Xenopus tropicalis: one gene and its partners. The protein of the gene in region 1 binds, or shares a complex with, the protein of each later gene. Links are inferred from orthologs where the notes say so. Each region holds a gene or a part of one and is shown on either strand. Other genes may lie near its edges.

Evidence for each region. Proteins that work in one complex are often made in the same cells at the same time.
Region 2: armc7 (region 1) and rbmx2 share a complex: the UniProt entries of both Homo sapiens proteins name them as parts of the minor spliceosome. The link is inferred for Xenopus tropicalis from reciprocal best matches to the Homo sapiens genes ARMC7 and RBMX2.
Region 3: armc7 (region 1) and cript share a complex: the UniProt entries of both Homo sapiens proteins name them as parts of the minor spliceosome. The link is inferred for Xenopus tropicalis from reciprocal best matches to the Homo sapiens genes ARMC7 and CRIPT.

The regions. Positions count from the first base shown.
Region 1 is NC_030686.2:44,366,006-44,370,658, forward strand, and holds armc7 (armadillo repeat-containing protein 7), read left to right. Parts: upstream 1-1,555; 5' UTR 1,556-1,627; coding exon 1,628-1,703; intron 1,704-1,707; exon of another isoform or gene 1,708-1,797; coding exon 1,798-1,962; intron 1,963-3,610; coding exon 3,611-3,963; 3' UTR 3,964-4,565; downstream 4,566-4,653. UniProt on the Homo sapiens protein: As a component of the minor spliceosome, involved in the splicing of U12-type introns in pre-mRNAs.
Region 2 is NC_030684.2:38,934,862-38,937,563, forward strand, and holds part of rbmx2 (RNA-binding motif protein, X-linked 2), read right to left. Parts: intron 1,580-2,702; coding exon 1,450-1,579; intron 835-1,449; coding exon 660-834; intron 282-659; coding exon 1-281. UniProt on the Homo sapiens protein: Involved in pre-mRNA splicing as component of the activated spliceosome. As a component of the minor spliceosome, involved in the splicing of U12-type introns in pre-mRNAs.
Region 3 is NC_030681.2:19,971,777-19,976,385, reverse strand, and holds the start of cript (cysteine-rich PDZ-binding protein), read right to left. Parts: upstream 2,949-4,609; 5' UTR 2,947-2,948; coding exon 2,931-2,946; intron 1,847-2,930; coding exon 1,781-1,846; intron 250-1,780; coding exon 195-249; intron 1-194. UniProt on the Homo sapiens protein: As a component of the minor spliceosome, involved in the splicing of U12-type introns in pre-mRNAs. Involved in the cytoskeletal anchoring of DLG4 in excitatory synapses.

The DNA.
Region 1 (4,653 bases):
CCTTGGCTTGTTTGCAGTGTCGGACTGGGACCCCAGGGGCCCACTAGAAAACCTTAGACCATGGGCCCACTCTCCAAATTAATTTTCCTCCTTTCCTCACTAAAACCACTTTATTCTCCTAGTCTGTTTTATTTACATGCTAGCATCTATTCTTCCATCTATTTCTTCTCTTTGTTCCCATTCAGAAATAGGGAATGACCATGAATAGGCCAAATGGTGAGGAGCAGGAGGGCCCACTGACCCCTGGGCCCACCGGGAGTTTTCCTGGTATCCTGGTGGGCCAGTCCGACTCTGTTTGTGTGCACTGTGAATCCCAGGGGGATAAAAGTGAGTTATAAAATACCCTATATTTAGCATCTGTGCCACTGGTCTTTTTTTTTACTTATTTTTAAATTATTTGCTGCCTTTTTCTGCCTCTCTATGCTTTCAGGCAGTCAGCCAGCCAAAAAACTATTGCTCTGAGAGGCTATTGTTATTCAGTACCATATCTCACGTGGTTGCTAGTTTAAATATGACCCTAGCAACCAGATAGTTGCAGAAATACCAAACTAGAGACGTGTTAACATCCCAATTCCTTATGCACATGATTTATAGCCATTTTACCCCTATATACATGTGTGGCGATATAAAGAGTAGAAGGCCATTGCATATTTATATTTGGGCTGCTTTTTACCCCCAGTCTGGCCCTGCAGCTTGGTGTTTCCATTTAACGTTCAATTTTCAGTGCGGCTTGGGCAGCATGCCACCCTAAGGGCTCTGGCACACGGGGAGATTAGTCGCCCGCGGCAAAACTCCCTGTTCGTGGGCAACTAATCTCCCCGAGTTGCCTTCCCCTGCCATCCCACCGGCGAACATGTAAGTCGCGGGTGGGATGGCACACGCGGCGGCGCGATTTCACGCAAATCGCCGAAGTTGCCTTGCGAGGCTTTTTCAGCGATTTGCGCTAAATCGCGCTGCCGCGTGTGCCATCCCACCGGCCACTTACATTTTCGCCAGTGGGATGGCAGGGGAAGGCAACTCGGGGAGATTAGTTGCCCACGAACAGGGAGTTTTGTCGCGGGTGACTAATCTCCCCGTGTGCCAGAGCCCTTAATCTGTTCCGCCCCGGGCCTGGGCCTTTGTTGCCTGGGTGTCACGTGTTTTCTATTGAAACGAGTGTCTGGAGGGGCGGGGTCAGACGGTATTGCGCCAATACGGCCCGTGGGCCATAGTTGTAAGAATTGTGTGAGCAGCAGATAAGTACCACAGTCTTCATTTTTTTATCCTCTGAGGTTTTTGCCACTTTAGCACTTCTACACTTTCCAATTTCCTGCTACCAAGTTGCCAACCTGAAGAGTGAGTAGGAGAGGGTCTGAAGAGAAAAATACATCATAAATATATAAATCTCAATACAAAAGTATACTCATAGCATGACATTTTGTTTATTTCTATTGTTCCCACCCTCACACTTACCCGGGTAATTCTGCCCCTAACGCTACAGTTCCGCCTCAGCGCTTTGCGCCTCCCTCACGCTTCCCGCCCGGAAGTAGGACGAGAACTGGCACCCGACTTGAGGCTTCTGCCAGTACGGTGACATCACTTCCGCCCACCCGGAAGCGCAGGTACTGCGGGCTGATAGAGAGCGGGGATGGGTGACGGGGAGTCGGAGCGGTTTCAGTACCTGCAGACGTTGGTCACTGAGTTCCAGGACACGGACAGTGTCGGTAAGGGAGAGAGAGGGGGAGATTTAACCCCATTCAGTTTCGTTACGGTTGTAGTTTTGTACCAACTCTCCGCATCATTTCCTCTTCTCATTAGTTTCTCCCCTTAATTGCTCAGAAGCCAAAGAGCAGGTCCTGGCCAATCTGGCCAACTTCGCCTACGATCCCCGGAACTTTTCCGACCTGCGGAAGCTACAGGTGCTGGACCTGTTCCTGGATATGCTGACTGAGGGCAATGAGAACCTGGTGGAGTTTGGCCTGGGTGAGAGAATGTACTGAAGTGCTGAGCCCACAATGTGCCCCCATGTGTGGCAGGAGGGTCACAATATAATGCAATATAATCTCAGCTCCCACCAGCATCCTCCCCCCAGCATCCTCCCACCAGCATCCTCCAGCTCCCCCCAGCATCCTCCTCAGCATCCTCCCACCAGCTCCCCCCAGCATCCTATCCCAGCATCCTCCCACCAGCTCCCCCCCAGCATCCTTCAACTCCCCCCAGCATCTTCCTCAACATCCTCCCACCAGCATCCTCCAGCTCCCCCCAGCGTCCTTGCCAGCATCCTCCAAGCTCAGGGGACACATTGACTTGATGGAGGCCCTGAGTGTAACGCTGGCCCGAAATCACAGGCCTCTCAGCTCCCCCCAGCATCTTCCCACCAGCATCCTCCAGCTCCCCCCAGCATCCTATCCCAGCATCCTCCTCAGCATCCTCCCACCAGCTCCCCTCCAGCATCCTTCCCAGCATCCTCCAGCTCCCCCAGCGTCCTTCCCAGCATCCTGCTCAACATCCTCCCACCAGCTCCCCCCCAGCATCCTTCAGCTCCCCTCAGCATCCTTCAACTCCCCCCAGCATCTTCCTCAACATCCTCCCACCAGCATCCTCCAGCTCCCCCCAGTGTCCTTCCCAGCATCCTCCTCAACATCCTCCCACCAGCTCCCCCCCAGCATTCTTCAACTCCCACCAGCATCTTCCTCAACATCCTCCCACCAGCATCCTCCAGCTCCCCCCAGCGTCCCTACCCAGCATCCTCCCACCAGCTCCCCCCAAGCATCCTCCCACCAGCCCCCCTCCAGCATCCTCCCACCAGCTCCCCCCCAGCATCCTTCTCAGCATCCTCCTAAACATCCTCCCCCCCCCCCCAGCGACCTACAGCGACCAATCAGGAGTCAGCGGACCGGATTAAAAAGGCCAATGGGCCAGACATGGCTTGCAGGCCGTAGTTTGCCCACCCCTGATATAATGACTCCGCCCCAATCTCCAGTTGATGGACAGTATAGTGAAAGTGGCTATAGGTGGGCAGTGGGTAGATGCTTAAATTTTCTGCTTGATGACAGTGGGACGGACCATTGAAAAAAAGCCAGTGTCAGACTGGGGGCCCCTCACTGAGGGTGGAGGGCCGATGTTGCTGGCAGGGATCAGGCCTGGGTTGGTGGGGCCCACTGGGATTTTTCTCATTGTCCCAGTCTGTCCCTGGGAAAAGCCCAATATGCAACCTGGCACTGGAGGGGGGGGTGGCAGAATCAGTAGGTTTTATCAGCCCATCTATGGCCACCGTGTACCACCCCCCCCAACCCCTCGCCTGTCATTGGTCTCTGACAAACACGGCTCTGGTATATTTATCGTTTTCACTACAAACTTCTGTGCGATCCTTTTATACCCAGATAAACATCCTGTGTTGCGAATATAAACATTGGGTGCAGTGAAAGCCCAGTTATCTTGTATTAACCACTTCCAGCAGGACGGAAGGATATTGTAGGTTTGGGCAATATGTTTTTTTCCATCTTTCCTATGGGATCCCCCCCCCCCCTAAAAAACATGTCCTCAATTTCAATTGTGATCAAACCCCCTGTAGGTCATAATGTCTTTGAAATTGTTAGTTTGCCTTTAACCATTCTCTCTTTTCCAATAGGGGGTCTCTGTAATCTCTGCCTGGACAAGACTAACAAGAGTCACATACTAGACTCCGGGGGGCTGAAATTGGTCATCAATTGCCTGTCCAGCCGTCGGGAAGAGACGGTGCTTTCGGCGCTGACCACACTCATGTTCCTGTGCACGGCCGCCTCCCGCACTGAAGTGACGGCTCCTGCTGTGGTGGAGTGCATGGTGCGCTTCTCCCTTTCCACCAACCGCAGGATCAGCAATTTGGCCACCATCTTCCTGCAGGATTACTGCAGCGATAAGCAAGTGCAAGAAGCCAAAGAACTGAGCCAACATTCGGCATTGGGAATCCCGCTCCCTGAATCCACGCAGCACCCCATCTGACTCCCGTGTCGGACATTTGCACCCTACTAGAAACAGATGCAGCATGGCTGTTCTCGGAGTGTGACAAACTCTGTGTTTGAAGTGCTGGTCACTTTCATGATCATGAAACAAGTTTGGGAGACAAGTGCAAGCCTTGCCGGACTGCAGTCCCCTGCAAGATACTGTTCCGTGATTCAGTTATGGACTGACCCCATGGTCCCTCGTGTATTTATTTCTACTGTATTAAAATCATTAAAGAGGAAAAGCACTCGGTGCTGCTATCTACACTGCTATCCACTCTTCGTGAGTGGCCAATGGTTGGCGAGATTGTACAGTTGTGTTTCTTAGCTCTCCCCAGCAAAGCTTCATGGGTTATTCAGGGTCCATGAAAGGGGTGGGGGAACCTTATGGTAGGGGGTGACACTTGGGTGGATCATGGGGAGAGTTTTAATATAATTGCAGTGGATTAGGGATGTGGCTATGCATGTGAGGGGATTCATTTTACCTGTTTACAAGGCCTGGAAGCACAAGAGACTGGTGAGCTAATAATTGAGGGGGCCCTGCTAGCTTTTAAGTATGGGGCCCATGAATACCGATGCTCAAAGAGTCCAATAGCCAAAGATCCAAAACACAACCAAAATCTGGAAGGGCGGTGCACACACATATACCTCATACGTGCAACAACTACTTGATGATAGATACTGGCACCCC
Region 2 (2,702 bases), on another chromosome or scaffold:
TCTGTACTTATCTCTTGGCATTTGTTGTTCTCGCTCTTTGCGTTCCTCTTTTTCCTTGTGCTGTTCTTTGTACTTATCATGGGAATCACCTTTGCTGTTACTCTTTTTGTGAGAGCCACGGTTTTCTTCCATGGCCCTTGAGCTCTCACTTCCCACCCTGGAAAACTTCTCAATTGTCCTGGATCTGTCATAAGGGGAATCCAAACGTTCTTGTTTGTTATGCCTGCTGTTGCCACCCTCTTCCTCTTTCCTCCTGCTTTTGTCTTTTTTTTTCTTCTTATCTAACATGAAAAAACAAAAAACTATCAATTTAGTTTAGCAGAAGAATTAAATACACAGATCAGCTGTAAACAACCAGCAGGACTATAATAATAATGGCAAATGTAAAATTGGAAATTGTAATAAAATATGATAATTTTTCCTGCTACCATCACTAGTTAATGCTGTGAATAAGGCAACAGCATGATAGGTAAAAAAAAGGCCCCAATTTGAAAGGTTAAATGTGCTTAGGTAAATTAAAATATTGTATTCTAGGATACTTCTCCTGTTTAATGAAAACATAACAGTGATTGTATTTTTTTTTGGGGGGGGGGTATAAGCAATCCATCCCTTGCTACTTGTAACGAGTTCACACTATTAGAAAACTACTGATAAAACACCTTTCTTTTTCCTTGGTGGCTCTTCGTCTTCGTCCTGTGAGGATGACACTGGGGATGGCGTTCGTGCCCCACATCCCTTTTCTCTAAGAGATTGTGTAATTTCATCAATGTCTTCTGCATCCTTGGGAGGACGATAATTGGCAACATGATCTACACGGATTGTGCGCCCCTTTACCTGAATAAACAGAATGGTATTCCCAAAGTAAGAATAACTAAAATCCACTTTTCTGGTAACAGGCAAAAAAATGTTTAGGACAAAAACACTGTTGAATAAGTGGCATGGTTGGGGAGTGGTAATATAAGGTTATCAGGTCTTCTTTGCAGGGTTTTTCTCAAATTGTAGCCAAAATCATTAAAATACAGGTAGTGAAATGTCAGGATGCTGGGAAACGGCAGCAGACCTTGAAGCTGTCCCTGTATTTTATATAAAACAATCTTTATGGGGGGGGGAAGTACCATAGGCACAGGTTACCCCAAAGAACCTGGACCACAGAAGCAAAAGCATAAGCAAGAGATGGACAATACAGAAAAAAACATGGAATAAACAATAATAGGAAGAACTCTTTCTAGTGAGCCTATTGAATGATCTTTAGGTGGCTGCTAAAAGCGAAGAAAATATTGTAAACACGAATGGAATCCCTTACATCTATGTGTATCTCTGAGTCCTCAATGATATTGTATTCTAATAAACAATAAAGAGGGACCTCACATGCATAAAAATACATAATGGGTTATGCAGTCATCTGGATAAACTTTAGCCCTATGAGTATTGTAACATGTTATTTGTTACCTTGATGCCATTAAGATTATCCACGGCCAGTACAGTGCTTCTCTGATCCTCAAAACACAAGAAGCAAAAGCCACGGGAACGGCCTGAAGATTTATCACGGACCAGATTAATATTTACCACCTCACCATACCTGAAGAATATTCAACAATTAGGACACAGCCATTGGTAAATTTAAACAAAATGTAGGAAAAACTTTTAAAATATCATAACAAATTATTTTCTCTTCTCTTAAATTTGGGAGGATAGGCACCATGCCTGCAGATGGAAAAAAAAGACACTAAAAAGTAGCTACTACTCCGCTTCCTCTAGGCTTTATCCCCAGCATGCTACCCTCAGATCTTCAGTTTCCTGGACTGAACAAGGGGAGACCCTACACAGAGTCAAATGTTTTACCTCTACCCAAAATAAAACCCAACAACAACAGTAAAACCTAAAATAGAGAACATGCCTAAAAGTATAGGCAACTAACACTGAACAAGAAACCAGAGGAATGGCCTGTTTCCCAAAACCTGATTCGTTTTAGGAAGTGACCAAATCCTATAACTTTACAAAGCATACAGTCAAATCTCAAGTCTGTAGTCAAAAAAAATCCAAATCCTGAAAGTCATGATGTTTTTTTTTTGTTCACAAATGGTGATCTTTTACAAATTTGTATATGCATATTATGATACAGTATGGTATTTGGTTTGTTGTTCTGTTGAGCCTTTTGTAAAGGATTTTGCATTTATGGATTTGATGCATCACTACTAAAATGAAACTAAGGATCTGAGGAAAGAGAGGAGACAGAGCCTAGAGCAGAAAAAGGAGTCACTTTTAATGCTTTCAGGATCTTTATCATCCCATGGTGCCTGTGACTCCAATCTAGAGAACAGAAAAGTGAACTTCTTACCATTCACGATGTCAATGCAAACATCTAGGTTTAGATGAGCCACTGCTCAAAGCAGAACAAACAGTGAAACTCTTCAGGCTCCAATCTTGGGAGACAGAGTCTGAAATCCCCCTACAATTCAGTTTGTTGATTGTCCTGTCTCAAGAAGGTGGGGCAGAGGGTGTGCCCCTGTACTTTATCATGTTATACTAGTTTGTTTAGTTCTTGTTGATTCAACAAGACATTAAATGGGCTTTCCCTAGTGCCTGGTCTAGTGCTAGTGCCTCTCTTTATATATGGCTCATACCCTATACTTACTAAACTGCAGCAAGGCCACACAAGATGAAAGCTTCTCCCAGTCAGTACCTGCTCCTCTTTAGAGCTC
Region 3 (4,609 bases), on another chromosome or scaffold:
TGGTGTCAGTGACACCGCACATGCTCAATCTACTTTGAGCTGCAGTAAAGCAGTTAAGCCTAGTGATTGTCACAAATCCTCAAAATATTTGAGGATATTTGAAAGTGAGTTACAATAGGCAAAAAGTATGTTCACAGCAAACCCTATACACTGAACTCAAGTTGAAAAGGAGACACTGTGTGATTAGTACTCACCTTGCAGTCTTTGATGTCAGTGCCTTGTTCTCATTTAGTTTTCTGCCTCCACTTTCTGTGTAAAGAGAGAGAAAAATCAATAACCAGAAGAATACTGTAATAATCCTTTCCCACAGAAGCCAAATGTGTTTGTTTAATTAAATAAATTAGAAATATAAGCCTCCCATCAAGTCCCCCATTTGAAACATTGTACATAATACTATAGAGAGGTTACCAGCTCCAGGACTTAGGGGCCATAGGCAAACAAATGAAATATTTTGGATTTTTTCTTTTACTTGAGCAAACATTAATTCTGACAGGGACTGTTGTGCCAAAACAAGACAAAAAAATACTGCCTATTAAAATAAACAAACAGTGGCATATTCACTAAAGAAGGCTTACGTGTGAATGGAACAATTCATCAAAAAATGAAAGTCCGCCACCCCAGTTGAAAATAAGCCTTAACCAGGTAGACCAAACAGAGCAGTTTTAGGGGTCCCTGGTGGTGCAGTTCTGGAGGAGGGAGGGAAGACTCTGGAAGTGGCCATGGCTTCAAACAGCCTCCTTTGGGTAAGCCAGTCACTGAATAAACTAAACCGACTGTTTTTCAAGCAAAAAAGTGTATTTTATACCATATTTATTTAGAAAAAAATAGCTTATCATCAATTTACAATAGGCAATAAAAATATCAGTTAATGCTTTTAATTGCATTACTCTGCTAATATTAGCTAGATACATGCAGCGATAACATTTCAGGTAAAGAGATTGTTAAAAAATGGCTAAAGATAATAACTGGTGGCACTTCATGGAGGCATTAAAGGAGAAGAAGTCATTTTGGCATTTAACTGCCAATAGGTTTGCCACATTAGTGCCACCTAGAACACTATATTTATTCTGCAGAAAGCATTGCCATACTTGAGTAAAGAGCCCTAGAAGCTTTCTCTTTTTAAGATTGCAGCTGCCATTTTAGCTTGGTCTCCATAGCTTCCTGTTTGCAGTCTAGCGTTATAGCTCAGATTACACATTCCTAAGGGAGGGGGGAGTGAGTCTTATGAATTCTTATGGGAGGGGGGAGCAGGAGAGAGGAGAGAGCTGCACTGACTCTGGTCACAGGAATGAAGGATTTTTCTGAGAGAGAAAGTCAGATACCCTAAGAACATGTTTACAAAAAAGTAGACAAGAAATCCTGTGTTTCTTTTGACAGAGGACTCAGTGCAGCGTTTCTGTGAGTGCTTATGACTGTATTTACATAGACCTTTCTGATAAAGTTTACTTAGTTTTTACCTTTCCTTCTCCTTTAACCAATGAGTTTATTCATATAAGCCTTTAGTGTACAAATGTTTTGCTTGTGTACTTATTAAGGGAAGCTGCATAGGTGGCAGAGGCACACTTTGAAGCCTTTAATAACACAGCACAACAGGTTCAGCCCTTAAATGTCACCATATATTTTACAAAAAAAATAAATATTAAAGTCTGCCTTTATATAAACAATATCTGGCCTTTATAATAGGATCAAAGTTCTGCCTCTGAAAGACTGGGAAGAGCAAGAAGTGCTAGTGGATTGATACACAATAATGCAAATCCGATTAAATGGCACCACAACTTACCAGTGGTATTCCTGGCACCGGATTTCCATGTGTCTGGAGTGATAACTGTGCCCAGTTTCTTCTCACCTGTCATTAAATACACGTCATTAGTTAATGCTGCTCCTGCACACACATATCCCTATCTACGTCCTTAAAGGAATACTGTCATGGGAAAACACGTTTTTTTCAAAACCCATCAGTTAATAGAGCTTCTGCAGCAGAATCCTGCATTGTAATCTGTTTTTCAAATATACAAACAGATTTTTTTTATATTTAATTTTGAAATTTCACATGGGGCTAGCCATATTCTTCATTTCCCAGGGTGCCACAGCCATGTAACCTGTGCTCTGATAAACTTCAATCACAATTTACTGCTGCGCTGCAAGTTGGAGTGATATCCCCCGCCCCCTCCCAGCAGCCGATCAGCAGAACAATGGGAAGGGAGCAAGATAGCAGCTCCCAGTAGGTATCAGAATAGCACTCAATAGTAAGAAATCCAAGTCCGGCTTGGGACTCCTCCAGTTACATGGGAGTAGGAGAAACAATAGGTTAGCTGAAAGCAGTTCTAATGTGTAGCGCTGGCTGAAAGCTCAGACTCAGGCACAAGGCACTGAGATGGCGCCTACACACCAATATTACAGCTACAAATACATTTGTTGGTTCAAGAATAACATTTTAAATGGCAGAGTGAATTATTTGCTATGTAAACAGTGTAATTTAGAAATAAAAAGTATACCACATAAGTCATGACATTATCCCTTTAAAAACAACAGTAATTACATTCTCCCATACAGGTATCCAAAAACGTCAATGAGATAATCAGAATATATAGTGACAATGAGCAATACAGTCAGGGAGAATAGTAATAGCCGGCAGCACAGTAAGTATATTACTACGTATTGCGAACAGCGGATAAACCAGAGCTACAGCTATGTCTGCTTTATTTATTACTAACAGTAGGCACCCCTAGCAACCAACCAGCCATTGGCTTTGCTCAGCCAGTTGCGCAGACGAATGTGAAGGATAATATAAACAGGACGCCATGGTTTACAGCTGCTCGGCAAATGTATCCAATGGCAGGTGTAAGCGTTACCCACATAACACGGCTCTATGGGAGCTGCCCGGTACCAGGAAATACACCCAGCGAGATTAAACCCGGTTTGTTACTTACACTTATCGCACACCATGTCCCACTCCGGTCACACCAACAATCACACGGCTCTTGTCAACAAAGTTCCTTAGGAACGTCACTTCCGGATCTCGTCACCACCAATGGAAACCGCTCCGGAACGTCAACGTCAGTTGGCGGAAGCCGCCGCCTGATTGGCTTATGTGACTGTCTATCAAACACAGCTTCTGCTCCTTTTCAGGTGAGGGAGGAGGAACCAGAACCAGAAGTGGTGCAGGGTCAATGAGCGCACAGGTGAGTATTGGGAGACACAGCGGGACTTCCCTTCTACCCTTATATATATATATATATATATATATAGCTCAGTCTGTGGGAGTTTTGGTGCTGTTGAGCTACAGCTGCTTCCTTCCATTGGTGTGTTTGCATAAGCTCCTAGGGGGAGTGATGGGAGTTGTAGTAAAGACAATTAGCAACATGGGGTGTTCAGCCTGAAGGCCAGTTAGGGGAGATTGCCCATTACATACACAGCCCAGCCTGAAGGGCCAGTTAGGGGAGATTGCCCATTCTGTGGCTACATACACAGCCCAGCCTGAAGGCCAGTTAGGGGAGATTGCCCATTCTGTGGCTACATACACAGGGCAGCCTGAAGGCCAGTTAGGGGAGATTGCCCATTCTGTGGCTACATACACAGGGCAGCCTGAAGGCCAGTTAGGGGAGATTGCCCATTCTGTGGCTACATACACAGGCCAGCCTGAAGGCCAGTTAGGGGAGATTGCCCATTCTGTGGCTACATACACAGCCCAGCCTGAAGGCCAGTTAGGGGAGATTGCCCATTCTGTGGCTACATACACAGGGCAGCCCAGCCTGAAGGCCAGTTAGGGGAGATTGCCCATTCTGTGGCTACATACACAGCCCAGCCTGAAGGCCAGTTAGGGGAGATTGCCCATTCTGTGGCTACATACACAGCCCAGCCTGAAGGCCAGTTAGGGGAGATTGCCCATTCTGTGGCTACATACACAGCCCAGCCTGAAGGCCAGTTAGGGGAGATTGCCCATTCTGTGGCTACATACACAGGGCAGCCCAGCCTGAAGGCCAGTCAGGGGAGATTGCCCATTCTGTGGCTACATACACAGCCCAGCCTGAAGGCCAGTTAGGGGAGATTGCCCATTCTGTGGCTACATACACAGCCCAGCCTGAAGGCCAGTTAGGGGAGATTGCCCATTCTGTGGCTACATACACAGCCCAGCCTGAAGGCCAGTTAGGGGAGATTGCCCATTCTGTGGCTACATACACAGGGCAGCCCAGCCTGCAGGCCAGTTAGGGGAGATTGCCCATTCTGTGGCTACATACACAGCCCAGCCTGAAGGCCAGTTAGGGGAGATTGCCCATTCTGTGGCTACATACACAGGGCAGCCCAGCCTGAAGGCCAGTTAGGGGAGATTGCCCATTCTGTGGCTACATACACAGGGCAGCCTGAAGGCCAGTTAGGGGAGATTGCATAGGCGGAGGGTGACTTTTTTGTTTGGGGAGGCTAAATATGGGCCATACATAGACTGACATAAAGCTAATGTGAGACTTAGTGGATTCGCTGCTGGTGTAAATAATGAACCTCCCAACTACCTCTTGTGGTTCCCACTGACTCCCAGGGATACTGCGCAAAAGTGCGGGTGGAGTGCGAGTGTTTTTTTAACCCTAAAATGCTTAGGATGTAAAAGTATTCA